Linked DNA regions of Ovis aries. The protein of the gene in region 1 purifies or fractionates together with the protein of each later gene. This does not show direct contact. Links are inferred from orthologs where the notes say so. Each region holds a gene or a part of one and is shown in the gene's direction. Other genes may lie near its edges.

What was found. The genes of interacting proteins can lie anywhere in the genome.
Region 2: the proteins of RAB11A (region 1) and EVI5 purify together in Homo sapiens (co-immunoprecipitation; 3 studies listed by BioGRID and IntAct, with this or other methods). This does not show direct contact. The link is inferred for Ovis aries from reciprocal best matches to the Homo sapiens genes RAB11A and EVI5.

What each region holds. Positions count from the first base shown.
Region 1 is NC_056060.1:12,715,335-12,723,321, forward strand, and holds the start of RAB11A (ras-related protein Rab-11A), read left to right. Parts: upstream 1-3,190; 5' UTR 3,191-3,297; coding exon 3,298-3,337; intron 3,338-7,987. UniProt on the Homo sapiens protein: The small GTPases Rab are key regulators of intracellular membrane trafficking, from the formation of transport vesicles to their fusion with membranes.
Region 2 is NC_056054.1:69,895,908-69,903,414, reverse strand, and holds part of EVI5 (ecotropic viral integration site 5 protein homolog), read left to right. Parts: intron 1-430; coding exon 431-505; intron 506-4,808; coding exon 4,809-4,934; intron 4,935-6,354; coding exon 6,355-6,498; intron 6,499-7,456; coding exon 7,457-7,507. UniProt on the Homo sapiens protein: Functions as a regulator of cell cycle progression by stabilizing the FBXO5 protein and promoting cyclin-A accumulation during interphase. May play a role in cytokinesis.

The sequences.
Region 1 (7,987 bases):
CTTCCTAAGTCATTACTTTGCCGACTAAGGTCTGTCTAGTCAAGGCTATGGTTTTTCCTGCGGTCATGTATGGATGTGAGAGTTGGACTGTGAAGAAGGCTGAGTGCCAAAGAATTGATGCTTCTGAACTGTGGTGTTGGAGAAGACTTTTGAGAGTCCCTTGGACTGCAAGGAGACCCAACCAGTCCATTCTGAAGGAGATCAACCCGGGGATTTCTTTGGAGGGAATGATGCTAAAGCTGAAACTCCAGTATTTTGGCCACCTCATGAGAAGAGTTGACTCACTGGAAAAGACTCTGATGCTGGGAGGGATTGGGGGCAGGAGGAGAAGGGGACGACCGAGGATGAGATGGCTGGATGGCATCACGGACTCGATGGATGTGAGTCTGGGTGAACTCCGGGAGATGGTGATGGACAGGGAGGCCTGGTGTGCTATGATTCATGGGGTCGCAAAGAGTTGGACACGACTGAGTGACTGAACTGAACTGAACTGAAGTTATGACCAACCTAGATAGTATATTCAAAAGCAGAGACATTACTTTGCCGACTAAGGTCTATCTAGTCAAGGCTATGGTTTTTCCAGTGGTCATGTATGGATGTGAGAGTTGGACTGTGAAGAAAGCTGAGCGCCGAAGAATTGATGCTTTTGAACTGTGGTGTTGGAGAAGACTCTTGAGAGTCCCTTGGACTGCAAGGAGATCCAACCAGTCCATCCTAAAGGAGATCAACCCTGGGATTTCTTTGGAGGGAATGATGCTAAAGCTGAAGCTCCAGGACTTTGGCCACCTCATGTGAAGAGTTGACTCATTGGAAAAGACTCTGAAGCTGGGAGGGATTTGGGGGTAGGAGGAGAAGGCGACGACAGAGGATGAAATGCCTGGATGGAATCATGGACTTGATGGACGTGAGTCTGAGTGAACCCTGGGAGATGGTGATGGACAGGGAGGCCTGGCGTGCTGCGATTCATGGGGTCGCAAAGAGTCGGACACGACTGAGCGACTGAACTGAACTCAGGAGTCAGTGCTAGCTCCTCCTCTTCCAGGTAGTTCTTTGTTTGTTTTTCCTATTTATTTGACTGCACCAGGTCACCAGGTCTTTGTTGTGGCACATGGGATCTTCAGTCTACCTTATGGCATTCGGATCTAGTTCTCTGACCAGGGATCCAACCCAAGTTCCTGGACTGGGAGCTTAGAATCTTAGCCACTGTACTGCCAGGCAAGTCCCCAGGGAGTTCTTCCTAATTATCTCAGTTCCTCTGAGCTACCCATTTGTTGCCAGAATTGCTCATTCTGCTCGTTACTCCTTCAGAACTGTTATTGACCCTTTGGTAAACCTTCTGTTGCTATATACTGCTTTGGAAAGCACTGAAAATGGCACTGTATTAGTTTTCTATTGCTGCTGTAACAAATTACCGCAATGTTGGTGACAAAACTACAGAAATTTATTACTTTATAGTACTATAGATCTGAAGTCTGACACGGGTATCACTGGGCTAAAATCAAGGTATCAGCAGGGCTGTGTTCTTTCTGGTGGCCTTAGGGAAGACTCAGTTTCCTTGCCTTTTCCATCTCCTCTTATTTATATTTTGCCTTTTCCATCTTCTATAAGCCTCTGCATTCCTAGGCTCCTGGCCCCCTTTCTTCATGTTCAAAGCTAAAAGGGCCTGTTGAAGCCTTCGCACACCATAACACTCTGACCTCCCTTTTCCACTTTTAAGGACACTTGAGAGGACATTAGGCCCACATGGAGACTCCAAAGATAATTGTCCTGTTTTAAAGTTAGTTGATTTGCAACCTTAATTCCACCTGCAACCTTAATTTCCCTTTGCCACATAATCTAGTATATTCACAGGTCCCAAGGATTGGGATGTGGACATTTTGGGAGAGCCTTTATTCTACTTACTACAGGCACCCTTGATGAAAACTTAAATTGCACACAGGTGTAGTGAGGTTTGACAATAAATGGGTACAGCTTTTTGGCATAAACATAGTGCTTATGTACTCAGTGTGTCCCACTCTCTGGGACCCCATGGACTGGATAGCCCACCAGGCTCCTCTGTCCATGGGATTTTTCAGGGGTGGGTTGCCACTTCCTCCTTCAGGGAATGAGATCAAGCCAGAGTCCCCTGCATCTGCAGGCAGATTCTTTACCACTGAGCCATCATAAGTCTCGTCACATACAGGGAGGCCCTGGTGTGTGATCTTTGGAAATCACTTGAACCTCCCCATCCACGTTTCTGCAAAAATGGAAATTGTCATCCTTTGCTCTGCATGTTAAAGAAAATAACTATGTAACCAGGTTCAGCTTAAAGGGTGACAAATAGGGTTCAAGAAGTTCTTGATGAATTTTGATGAGGAGGGTGGGCGAGGTTCTGTGAATACATCTGGAGACAGTTTGAGAGATTTCTGGAGAGAAGGAGTGGAAAGTGCCTGCCCTCGTATGAAGTTGGAGGCTGAAAATTCTAACAAAAGCAATCAACTTTTCATGGAAGCTTTCGAAGACGGCCGAGGTTAAAAAAACAAAAAGGGTGAAGTGTAGAGGATACTTAGGAGACACCTAGGTAACAGAGTACAGAACTGAAGGAAATGCATGTGCTCTTCCTAGGCAACTGAGTTTCGTGGCATTCCCTCCCTACTCAGTTCAAGAACACATATACCCCGCAGGTGTACAAGAGTCACCTTGTGAATAAGTACATGACTTATAAAATCGTGGCCAGGGAAAAAACAAAACCCAAACCAAAAGTGTAAGGAATACAGGTTCCACCGAGATTTGAACTCGGATCGCTGGATTCAGAGTCCAGAGTGCTAACCATTACACCATGGAACCGCCACGCTCACGATCCTGCCTTCGACTCTCTAATCCTTAGAGAACCCCGCCCCCATCCACAAACCGACCACCAGAGGCAGTGCTGAAGCGCTCTCCAGTGCCCCACTTCCCCGAATAGCGGCGAGTGGAGTGAGGGAGAGACTATTATGTATGGAGAGCAGCCTCTATCAGTGAGGTAAGCCGGGAGTACAGTGCTCATTAACCCACTCGAAACCCCTCCAAGCCCGGGAAGCTTGGACAACAGACGACAAACTTGCGCACGCCCCCTTTATTGGGCTGAGGGGCGGGGCGCCGCCCCCGGAAGTACTTCCCCCTATGGGTGGGGGCCTGCCGGAAGTGGCGTAGCGGCAGGGAGGGGTTCTTTACCGGGTCCGGCAGCTGAAGCTCGGCGTTCGGGTTACCCCTGCAGCGACGCCCCCTGGTCCCACCGGTACCACTGCTGCTCCCGCCCCTTCGCTTCTCGGCCGCGCAATGGGCACCCGCGACGACGAGTACGACTACCTCTTCAAAGGTGAGGCTGTGGGCTCCGGAAGTCTCCCTGGAGTCCCGGTTTGGGGGCCCGGGACACTCCCGGGGGACCCGCCCGCGGGTTGCCCCTGCCCTGAGATCGGCCTTCCTCAGCTCTTCCTCTCTGTGCAGCTTATCCTGAGGTCCCCCAGCTCAGCCCCTTTCCTTCCACTCACGGATGGGGGTCCTCACCACACAGCGGTCTCATAGCGACCTCCCCAGAGGCCTTAGGAAGCCTCACGGTCCCTACCCTGCGCCCCTCTCGCGGCCGACTGCCGTCTCTCGAATCGCTTTCCTTCCTCCTCGGGTTCCAGGGCCCCCTTAATGGGGCGCCCACCCCCCACCATCCATGTTTTCGGGTTCAGCGCCCCCTCCCCTTCGGTATACACCCTTCCTGAGCCCCTCCGACAGGCCTTTCCCTTCGTTCTTCACCTTTCTTTAGGCGAACTCTCCCATACAGATCTTTTTCTTATCTGCCTCCCTTTTCCCTCGGGCGAACCCTCCTCTGCCCTCGGACAGCCGCCTCTCCTCGCCCTCTTCTATCCCCGGGGCCAGGCCCTGGTTAAAAATCCGAGCGGGTCGGCGGCCCCACCCCCACCCGCCCCACACTTCTCGTGGCCCGAAACCTCGCATGGCCCCCGGCATTGGTAGCTCTTTTTCTGCCTTCCCTCGGCGAGTAGTTTACGAGCTCTCCCACGTCGCTCGTGCGACCCCGGCGGTGGGGGGTAGGGCAGGAGGGATTGTCCCAGCACCCACGCGCGCACTTGTCGCAGTGACCCGGCAGACCGATGTGACTTCCCACCCAGCCTTCTTTTCTCCTACCCTCCCTACCCAGAGGCAACCAGCCTGGGATAACTCTTGACTCTGTCCGAGACTAGGGGATACGGATGGGTGGTGGCTGTTATCCTTGCCAGACCTGAAGGCCCAGTTCCTGAGCAGGAAAGGTTGTACGCTGCACAAATAGCTTGCTTTATCGCTACGGACTGGTTGCTTCCTGCTGCAACGCTGGGAGGATCCAGCCTTTTGGTGTTTTTAGAACAGGAAGGGAAGCGTCCTGGTTGGCCACATACCTTTCCCCAAAGGTGGGGGAGCATGGGGAAGTTGTGTGCTCTTTGGTCAAATTAAATATTTTTCATAAGATAGGGAACCATGTAGTGCCCTTGGACAAAACATAGTGGAGGATGGGGAGTGAAAAAAAGAATTGCTTATTGGTTAGTCCGGAAAGAATCCAAATAGTTTTGTGTTTTTTTTTTTAATCGACAAAGATAATGGGTACAGTTTTCCTTGAGAGGAAAGTACAGTAAATGCTTTTTTTGTTGGATGAATGCTCTCTCTCTGATGCTGTTTCTCTGGTCCTGAGTTAGGAGGGCAGCCATCAGTACTATGCTGAACAAAGATCATTACCAAGGAGGAAGAAGCCATTACTATTAAAGCTTTACAGTGAAGGGTGGAGTTTGAAAAGAATGTTAAGCTTAATGACTCTTTCTGACTTTGCCACTGGGTGCTAAGTATGGTTGACTAAACAGAGCAGGAAACATTGCTTTACCAGTACTCTGCAAACCTTGGCCTACTAGTTGATGGGCCTACTGCCACTTAACTCTTCTGGGCCAGAAATTCTGGCCCAGAGTGAGTACCTTCAGTATCCACTCCCACCGCCTGACAGTGGGAAGTTGTTTACAGAGAAGAGGGTACTTAATCATTTTACAAATACAAAAAAGAAACATGGATTAGTTTACATACTGTTGGCTGAAGGCTTCTGAGGTCTGGTGAAATTACTTCAGTGAGACCCTGGAGACTGGGGTTTAGTCATTAAAGGGAGATTTGTTTTTTTTTACATAAGGGCTGCTTTTGAAGTAATTAATTTAGGACAAGATAGACTGTCATTCTCTTGTTTGGTTTACAACTTGAGTGTTGGTTATAGAACCTAGTTATTTCCTCACCAAAAATACTTAGTACCTTGGATTGGCTTAAGGGATTTTAACTTAGCTTTGGGGTTTAGACCACTTTGCTAACAATGATTGAGAAAGCCCAGGGCTTTGGAATGGCACAGGCCTGGTTTCAGATTACTGCCTCAGGTCTTACATTTGCTTTGTGACCTTGGGAAAGCTGACTTTTGAGCCTCAGTTCTCTCATCTGTAAAAATAAAATAGTATCTCTCAGGGTTGTTGTGAGAATTAAGTGAGACTGTAAAGTTTTAGCTTCTTTGAGAACTCAGATAATGTTAAAGAAGTTACTGTGGTTCTCAAAAGTTTTTTTTTTTTTTTCCTTAAAACCGTAAATCTATAACTGGAAGAGCATTTAAGTATTAGTAAAGAAACTTAAAACTAGAGCCTTCTAAAGTACCTTATATTTCCACAGGTTTTGGTTTCATTTGTTGTACACTTTGCTGTTAGAATGTTTTTAAAAATTCTGCTGAGAAAGATTTCCACTTTTAAAAAAGCTCTTAATAGGATATGAGTCACTTTTTAACTTCTTTGATGATTATATAGCCAATTTCTTATTTATACAATTTTAATTTAAAAAGAAGCAACAATAATTTCAGTTTTAAATGGTTTTATGCTATGTAGATATTCCCTGAGATGAGCTGCAGCTGTCTCCTTGGAAAAAGAACCTAGCAAACTTAATAGTTGAGGGAATTGTAAATTAGTTTGTAGCTCTAACCAGTTGAGAATGAAAGGATATCCTGATTGGTGTAAGATGGAGTGGTTCAAGTGGAAGAATGGGGAGAGTAGGAAAATTTTAAATTATGTATTTGTTCTTGAACATTAATCTTTAGCTCAACAGTGAGACTGCTGGTGGTGGTGAATTTTAATTTTAAAACTTGACTGTTTTAAAAACTTTAATTCTACATTTACACACAGTGTCCCTGTGGGACAGACACATAAGTGAAGTATAAATCAATCATAGTTCCTATTGGCAAATATTGTGGTAGACATTAACTCAGTCAGAGTCACATATTCTGAAAATATCCGTGTACGTAGTCTACACCATTTTCTTTTCAGTCTAATTGAAGGTCAGTAGTAATTAACCATCAGCTGATTATTAGTGGGGCTGATCATAGGAACTTTGCTGTCTTGCATCTTGATAGTTTTCTTTCACAACTTATGGTTGAGCAATTTGGGTTCTGCTGAATCTAGAAAAACTTGTCTAGACTTCAGCCTTATTTAATTTTAAAAAAGACTCTTGGTGAGTTTGGACTATGAATATAGTTGAAAGTAGAAAGATCTCCAGGTTTATTTATAAACCAGTGTGAAAATTATCAGTTACTTCAGGTTATAACTGTTAGGTCTGAGATACTATGATTTGTTGAATGAAATTTTTGTCTAGTACATTAGTTTGTAACAGACTGTATAAAACTAAATGTGGTTGAAGAGTTGGAAATTCTTATTAAATAATGGTCAGTTAATGCGTATATTCTTTTTATAGCTTTTAGCAGCCTAGTATTTGATATATAATGAACCAAATTTAGTATTAGATGAGGTTAACCAAGTGATAATGAATATTATCAGATTTATTTAAGAAATGTGGTTTCATATACAGATTCTATTATTTAATTTATACTTACATATATATATTTTATGTAGATGGCTACAGTTATAAAATGTTTAAAGTGGAAAAACTTTAAGATACTAGTGATAAAAAGTAAGGAAAGTCACTGCAAATTCCTTTTTTGAACTATAGGATGTGATCATGTAGTGGGTCGTATTTTAAAAAAGCAATTGAATATTGTCATCTTAATGAAAATATTTTTGATTAGAAACTAAGTTTGAGTCTGTGAACTTTTGAATTGTTTTTAAAATCACAGTGAATTCTTTTCAGTTGTTTAGGTAACAATCCATTTTAGTTTGTTTATTATTTAGTGAGCCTAAATATAACCTTTCTTGGTTCAGTTTCTCATTTGGTAACTGCATAGAAGAGGTTTTCCATATTGTGTCATTTCTCAGCAGCATCTTGGCAGTGCTGTTCTTAAAGAAGCAATATATTCTGTTGTCACTTAAGGTATAATCCTTTAACAAGTTGCTAGTCATAATTCTTGTCAACCTTGCCGGTGTCGAGTTGAGATAACTTTTATACTGTATAAAGTATTAATGTATCTTGAATTATTTTCAGATAAAGGTCTAGTAATATTTTTTATGTTAAAATTAATTGGTTATATCAAGGGAAAAAATGTTCTCTCTAAATGTCTTTATGACAGTGCAAAGATTTGAGAATGGGGAGACAGAATATAATCGATAAAGTGGAGGTTAAAAGGCAAGAAACCAAAACTTGAAAGTACTAGAGTTTTTGTGGGATGGAGTTACTGAGTTCTTTGAGTTATTTATTTTATTTTCCAAAGGTATTGCCATTCTGTTTATTTTTATTTATTTTTTTCGGCTGCACCGTGTGGCATTTGGGATCTTAGTTCCCCCACTAGGGGTCAAACCCGTGCCTCCTTCCGTGGAAGGGCGTGGAGTCCTAACCACTGGACCATCGGGAAGTCCTGGCAGTGTCAGTCTAGATGTCTTGCTCTTTCGCTTTGAACCAAGTGGTTGGTTTCTAAACTGATTGATCTGACTGATAAATCTGAGTGCCTTGGAAGTAGAAATGTTCAACTTTTTGGTTTTTCCATTTCCTATTCCTACTTCAAGTGAAGCTTTCATACCTTAGTGCTAGT
Region 2 (7,507 bases), on another chromosome or scaffold:
ATTGTAATTTTTTCTTCAATATTGTCTTTTCTCTTTGCATAATTCCTTTCCCTTTTAGCTACCCCTGTGAAATTATGATTTCTTGTTAAACCATATCAATTTTGTCAGTGCTTTACCATCATCCTACTCAAATTTTACTCTATCAGCTACATTATTTTTAATGATTTTTAAGCTTTGCTACTTCTCTGAGTACAAATTCCTTTATTTTCTTGTCCTTAAGAGCAAACAATTCCTAATTTGTAAATCATCAAAAGAAAATTTTATGTAGTAAATCATATAGGGTAGGATAGCATCTACAGCAAAGCAAGCAAGAGCTTCTCTAAAAAATAAATGGTCTTTAACCCACATTCTCACTATTTTTAGGCTTGTAGAGAAGGAAGGTATGCTATATCATGATAAAGTATTTTGAACAACATTTTTTACTTTTTAGGCGTATTCTTTAGTGGATCGTGAGGTTGGTTACTGTCAAGGAAGTGCTTTTATAGTTGGATTGCTGCTTATGCAGGTAGGTTATATAAGTATTAAAGTTGGAGAATTTAAAAATCATCCTTGTTTTTAGTAAGTGGATTTTGGGTGTTTTTCTCCTAAGCATAATCTAAATAAGAACATTTAGTTTGCATTTTAAAATATTAAACATGTTGAAAATAACACATGGTAAATATCCTGCCACTAAATCAAATTTCATCTTATCTACATTTGGAATCTTATATGTCTGTATTTAATGAGGAATAATCTTTTCCCAGCTAAGGAGGACTGATTAAAGTGTTTCTATAGAAATCTTACTTTATGGGACTTCTCTGGTGGGTTTGATCCCTTATTGAACTAAGATCCCCCATATTGTGTGGCAAGGCTACATGCACACACAAGTCATAGTTATGATATACAGTGTCTTTGGAAGTTTATACAGTACTTTTATTTGTCACAGAACTGAGGGCTTGTTACACCTGTCTTATTATAGGCTTAAAAATAGTGGTACTCAGTCACTTCTGCTGCCTTAGGGATAAACATGTTTCCATTGGCAGTGGCTTGTATTGGGTGGGGTGTTTTTGGAAGTCAAGGACAGGGCAGTAAGTCATAGCTTTGACAGGAAATAGCATATGATGTTATCTATTTAGCAGTATTGAAAATTTTTTTAAAGTCTATCTTACTCTTGTATTAAGTCTCAGACTGAAATATAACTTGAAAAGAAATCTTGGAGAAAACTTTTGAGTCATTTAGGCTTGTTTTTGCAACTCAGTTCTGCACTGAGTTCTGTAACCTTGGGCTAGATTATTTTAACATCTTTTTCTTAGCCTTAATTAGGTACTACTTCTACTTTTAGATTCATTATGAGGGTTATATAATATATGTAATAGGCTAGCATGGTGTTTGACACATGGTAGACATGCAATAGAAGTTCAGTGACTTGCCCAAGGTCACATATCTTGGTAGATAAGAGCAGTGTAGGAATCAGAAACTGTTTCTCTACTGTTACTGTTGTTCAGTCGCTCAGTAGTGTCACACTCTTTGTGACTACATGGTGTGCAGCATGCCAGGCTTCCCTGTCCTTCACCAACTTCCGGAGCTTGCTCAAACTCATGTCCATTGAGTCGGTGATGCCATCCAACCATCTCATGCTCTGTTGTCCCCTTCTCCTGCCTTCAATCTTTCCCAGCATCAGGGTCTTTTCTAATGAGTCAGTTCTTCACATCAGGTGGCCAAAGTTTTGGAGTTTCAGCTTCAGCATCAGTCCTTCCAATGAATATTCAGGACTGATTTCCTTTAGGATGGACTGGCTGTCCAAGGGACTCTCAAGAGTCTTCTCCAGCACCATAGTTCAAAAGCATCAATTCCTCGGCACTCAGCTTTCTTTGTAGTCCAACTTTCACATCCATACATAACTACTGGAAAAACCATAGCTTCGACTAGATGGACCTTCGTTGCCAAAGTAAGGTCGCTGCTTTTTAATATGCTGTCTAAGTTTGTTATAACTTTTCTTCCAAGGAGCAAGCATCTTTAATTTCATGGCTGCAGTCACCATCTGCAGTGATTTTGGAGCCCAAGAAAATAAAGTCTGCCACTGTTTCCCCATCTATTTGCCATGATGTGATGGGACCAGATGCCGCTATCTTCATTTTTGGAATGTTGAGTTTTAAGTCAGCTTGAAAACTCTCCTCTTTTACCTTCATGAAGAGGCTCTTTAGTTCCTCTTCACTTTCTGCATAAGGGTGGTGGCATCTGCATATCTGAGGTTGTTGATATTTTCCCTTGTAATCTTGATTTCAGCTTGTGCTTCATCCACCCTGGCATTTTGCGTGATGTACTCTGCATATAAGTTAAATAAGCAGGGTGACAGTATATATCCTTTCACAATTTTGAACCAGTCTATTGTGCCATGTCCGGTTCTAACTGTTGCTTCTTAACTGCATACAGGTTTCTCAGGAGGCAGATAAGGTGGTCTGGTATTCCCATCCCTTGAAGAATTTTCCACAGTTTGTTGTGATCCACACGGTCAAAGGCTTTAGCATAGTCAATGAAGCAGAAGTTGATGTTTTTCTGAAATTCTCTTGCTTTTTCTATAATCCAACGGATGTTGGCAATTTGATCTCTGGTTCCCCTGCCTTTTCTAAATCCAGCTTGAACATCTGGAAGTTCTCGGTTCTCATACTGTTGAAGTGGAGAATTTTCAGCATTACGTTACTAGCATGTGAGATGAGTATAATTGTGCGGTAGTTTGAACATTCTTTGGCATTGCCTTTCTTTGGGATTGAAATGAAAACTGACCTTTTTCAGTCCTGTGGCCACTGCTGAGTTTTCCAAATTTGCTGGCATATTGAGTGCAGCACTTTCACAGCATCCTCTTTTAGGATTTGAAATAGCTCAACTGAAATTCCATCACCTCCACTAGTTCATAATGGTGCTTCCTAAGGCCCAGTTGACTTTGCATTCCAGGATGTCTGACTCTAGGTGAGTCAGACATGGTGTTAAAATAGTTAAGAGTACTGGGTATATGTTTTGTGTAATCTTAGTACTGCTTTAAAATTGGGCAAATAGTGTCCCCACTAGACCTTTGCAAAAGACATGATTCTTATTAACTCGGTGTCATAGAGAAAATGTGTATCAGAGAGAAGGGGCAGTTAGTGGCGATGAGGCATTGAGGTCCAAGGAGGGACATGTGCGTCTCTATTCCTGCCCTCTTCCAGTGCTGAGGGAGAGAAAACAGCTTCCTCAGGAGACAGCCAGATTTCGGTTTTGAAGTATCCTTAGGGGGAGTCAGGTTTCACTTAGAGAAAGACAGTGAAAGAACATTTGATGAGGAGATTGAGGGTATAGATAGGATATTTTATTGATGGCAGGCTATTAGTTCCAGAAAGTCCTGTGTAAAAGGTTTAGGGCATATTAGAAATGGGGTAGATTATGGAAGCACTGGAAGCACATGGGATGAGCGTTCTAGGATACTGGGTTTCTTGTAGTGACTGACATAAAAATCAGTGAGGCTATAAAGCTTGATAGGATTAATGAAGATATGTGTTGGGAGGAAGGAAGGAAGGATGAGTTTTGCTAAGAATAGTTCTTGGCTCCTGTTCATTCCCTGTGTTGAGGCCAGGGAAAATGTATTGTTAATAAATGTAGTCTTCAATAAGAAAAGCGCTTAGAGACCTTTTGAGGTTTCCTCTTTTAAAACACACTGGTATAGTGTGAGTGAATGAACATTAGAAAATTTTATCTTAATACACAAGAAATTCCCTGGCAGTCCAGTGGTTAGGACTGTATGCTCCCAGGGCATGGGTTTGGAGAACTCATATCTCTGCATGACACAAAAATAAAGATCACACAGTAATTTGTATGTTATGTATCTAAATTTAATATCTGTGTAACTCTACAGAGCTTTTATATTCAGTATCTTAGTTGATGTAATTATCTAGTGGGTTACACACAAAATGTGAAATTGAAACCTTTAAAACCCTAATTACATTTCTGCTCAGAACCCTTGAAAAGCCTCCCATCTCACTTAAGATAAAAGTTCAAGTCCTTACAGTGGTTTCTAAAATCCTAAGGTTTGGTTTGTTGTATTTCTCCTCTATAACCATACCTTCATTTGTAACATCACTCCTAATTTAGTAGTCCCCCATTTATTGTTCCTTGAGCATGCCACTCGTGATTCCATTTCAAGATATTTGTATTATTCTCTCAGTACTGTTCTTCCCTCAGTTGTTCCCTTACTTTCAGTATTCTGCTCCAATGTAACCTTACCAAGAGACATTCTCTGACCTACATATAAATAAATAGAACGTATCTCCCCAGGATTCCCTGTTGCTTTACTTTGTCTTATTTCAATAGCACTTTGCACCATCTGACATATATTAATTGATTTATTCCATATATTGCCTGGAGAATCCCATACACAGAGGAGCCTGTCAGGCTACAGGGTGGGTCACAAGAGTCGGGCACTATTAGGGACTAAACCACCATGTATTGTCTTATCTCCCCCTACTGGAAGGTTCAAACTCCCTGAAAGTAGACTATTTTGTTCACTGGTGTATGAGAGAGAGAGAAGTATCTGGCGTTAAATGAATATTTGTTGATTGAATTCATGAGTTAGGCAAGTGAGGCAGCTGGTCTCAGTTGTAAGATTTGCCTAATTTCTCATTGATGGTGATAGAATGGGAAGTTAGAATCTTCTGATTCCTAGTCCATTGCTCTTAATATTATATCACTTGGCACTCAAAACAGTGGTTATAGTTGGATAAGTACTTAGTTTAAATGTATTAGCTTATTTGTTTATCACAGAACATTAATAGATGTTGCTTTTTTTCCTCCTAATGCAGATGCCAGAAGAAGAAGCTTTCTGTGTATTTGTTAAATTAATGCAAGATTATAGACTTCGTGAACTTTTTAAACCAAGTATGGCAGAATTAGGCCTTTGTATGTACCAGTTTGAATGCATGATACAGGTAAAAGTGTGGTGTTAACCAAAAACATACTGCCTTTGTATTTTTTGTCATCTTGGTTTGAGTGACAACTAAGCAAATTTAATGTCAAAAGCATTAAAGCAACTGAAAAAAAAATCACTGTTTTGATTACATGATTATTTGTTGGTCCGTTAACCCACAGTTTAGACTTTACTTCCCAGTTAGGTGCTGTGCCAGGTAGATCATCTGGAACTTTACTACAATTTTTATGTTCAAATCTTAAACATTTGTGCCAAATATATCATAACCTAGGTGCATGAGTTTCTTTATTATGCTGTGTTGATCACATTATTTTATGTAGATTATGCTCTCCTACAGAAGCCCATGACATTTGGACGCTGATACAATTCATTTCCTTTGAGATGGGATCTCATCTTTTCAATCCTCTCCCCTGCCTTTCCCCTACCTTTCTTTACTGCCTTTCATCTCACTTTTTCTGCTAACCTGTAATCTTAAAAAAATTACTGTCTCTATCCTTTTATATTGTTGATTTAAGATTCATAGTCTTATTGACTGTCTGAGGGTAAAGAGAAGAAGAAAGAGAGGAATCAAAACCAAGTGAAAAATACCTTTAAAGTATTTCACCTTTCTGGATTTAATTTTTGTATTTATATAAGTAGATTTGGTATTTTCCCCTGTGGTATAATGGTATAAATATTCTCCATTTACTTACATTTCCATTAGGTAAGCAAACTTTAAGAATATAAGTTAAGGATTCAGCTGGCATAAGAGCCATTTTCCTGAGAAAAGTCTCCATTTCCCTGGCAGCCTTACCCACAGGAATTTTAAAATCCTTTACCTTTTCTATGTGTGATGAGAAGAAAGGGATATACCAAATGTTTTTGCATTTTAAAGAGAAAGACAAAGTAGGTCTTGATGATTCTTATTGGTCTTTTAAATAGTAAGCTTATTTTTATCAACCTTAAACTCCCTTGGTTTATTTTCAGTTAATGTGTCATTTATGTTTTGAATTAACTAGAGTTACTGAAGTATCTCAGATGAGAAGGGAGCTTAGGATAGGCAGTCAGGGTTATATAGCACCTGAAAGTATTTCAACATAGCATCTTTCCTTTAAAAAATTTTTTTTAAAAAATATTATAGTTTATATAAAAGTAAAGAAAATTGTAAAAATTTTACTTATTTATTGTAATTTTTCTTATTAAGAAATCATTAGGAAGTTCCAACTTTTTAAGTTCCAACTCCACATCCTTTTTCCCTTCTTCCTTTTCCAAATAGTAACCACTATCTAAAGTGTCCATTTCTGCCTCTTATTTCTTCCATGTGATTCCTGAATTTTCATGTTTATGTTTGGTAAGGGCTAATTTAGTATGTGTACAATAGTTTGGCTTAAAATACTCAGTTTTATAGTGTTTTAGTTAATTAATTCCTTTCTTCTGTTTAGGAGCACCTTCCAGAGCTCTTTGTGCATTTTCAGTCTCAGAGTTTTCATACTTCAATGTATGCATCATCATGGTTTCTGACTATCTTCCTTACAACTTTTCCACTACCAATCGCAACAAGGATATTTGATATCTTTATGTCTGAGGTAAGTTAGTGGGCAGCTTACCAGACTGAGCAAAGGAATCACTGGGTTAATGAGAGCTAGGCAATGAGGAGAACAATAAAGGAGACTCATGTGTTCCATGCTAAGCTGCTTGCATGGATAATCTCATTTAATCCTATAACATCCCTATGAGTACTGTTCATCTCCTCATTTGATGGATGACAGGTGAAGAAACTGATACTTAGAGAAACATTAAGTAGCTTGTCTATGGACACATAACACATAAGTGGTATAGTAACCAAGATTCAAACATAGGCAGTCAAAATCAGGAGCCTGTACTCTTAATCAGACCTGAATTACCTCCTTTTTGATTTAGTGAGAATTAGTGAGGGTTAAAATTTCCTTTACAGTTAATATTGTTGCAATGCATCTGTTACCCAAAGAAGAAGTAATGAGTATAATTTTCTTCTATCCCATGAACACCTTGCAGGTAGTCCTTTTAACTGTCACTGACATGTAGTGGTGACCCTTTGTCTTCTGTATTTTGACTGAGAAAGTAGGAAGGTAAGGATAGGTGATCAGTGATAGAGAGCACCTAAGAATGTTATTAATTATTATTAATTACATCTTGGGAAGATCAATTTATATAACATAGCTTAATTCGGTTAGTCTGGAGCCAGGAAACTATGAATCGTGTACTGATCTATCCTGGTTTGCCTGCCAAATCTGTCCTTTCTGTAAATAAAGTTTCTTGGAACATAGCCATCACTGTTTGTTGATATGATGTCTGTGTCTGCTTTTCAGCTGCAATTCCAGGGTTGATTATTTGTGACACTTATAGGTAGGGCCTAAAGCCTAAAACATTTGTTTTCCAACTCTTTACAGAAAATGTGTGCTGTCCTCTAGTTTAGGTACCTAAGTGTTTACCTTAATATTCTTTTGAGTGATTAGTTGTTGTGGAAGAGTAAGTTAAATTTGACTTTATAATTTGATTCTTCAGGGTTTAGAAATAGTGTTTCGGGTAGGATTAGCGCTTCTTCAGATGAATCAG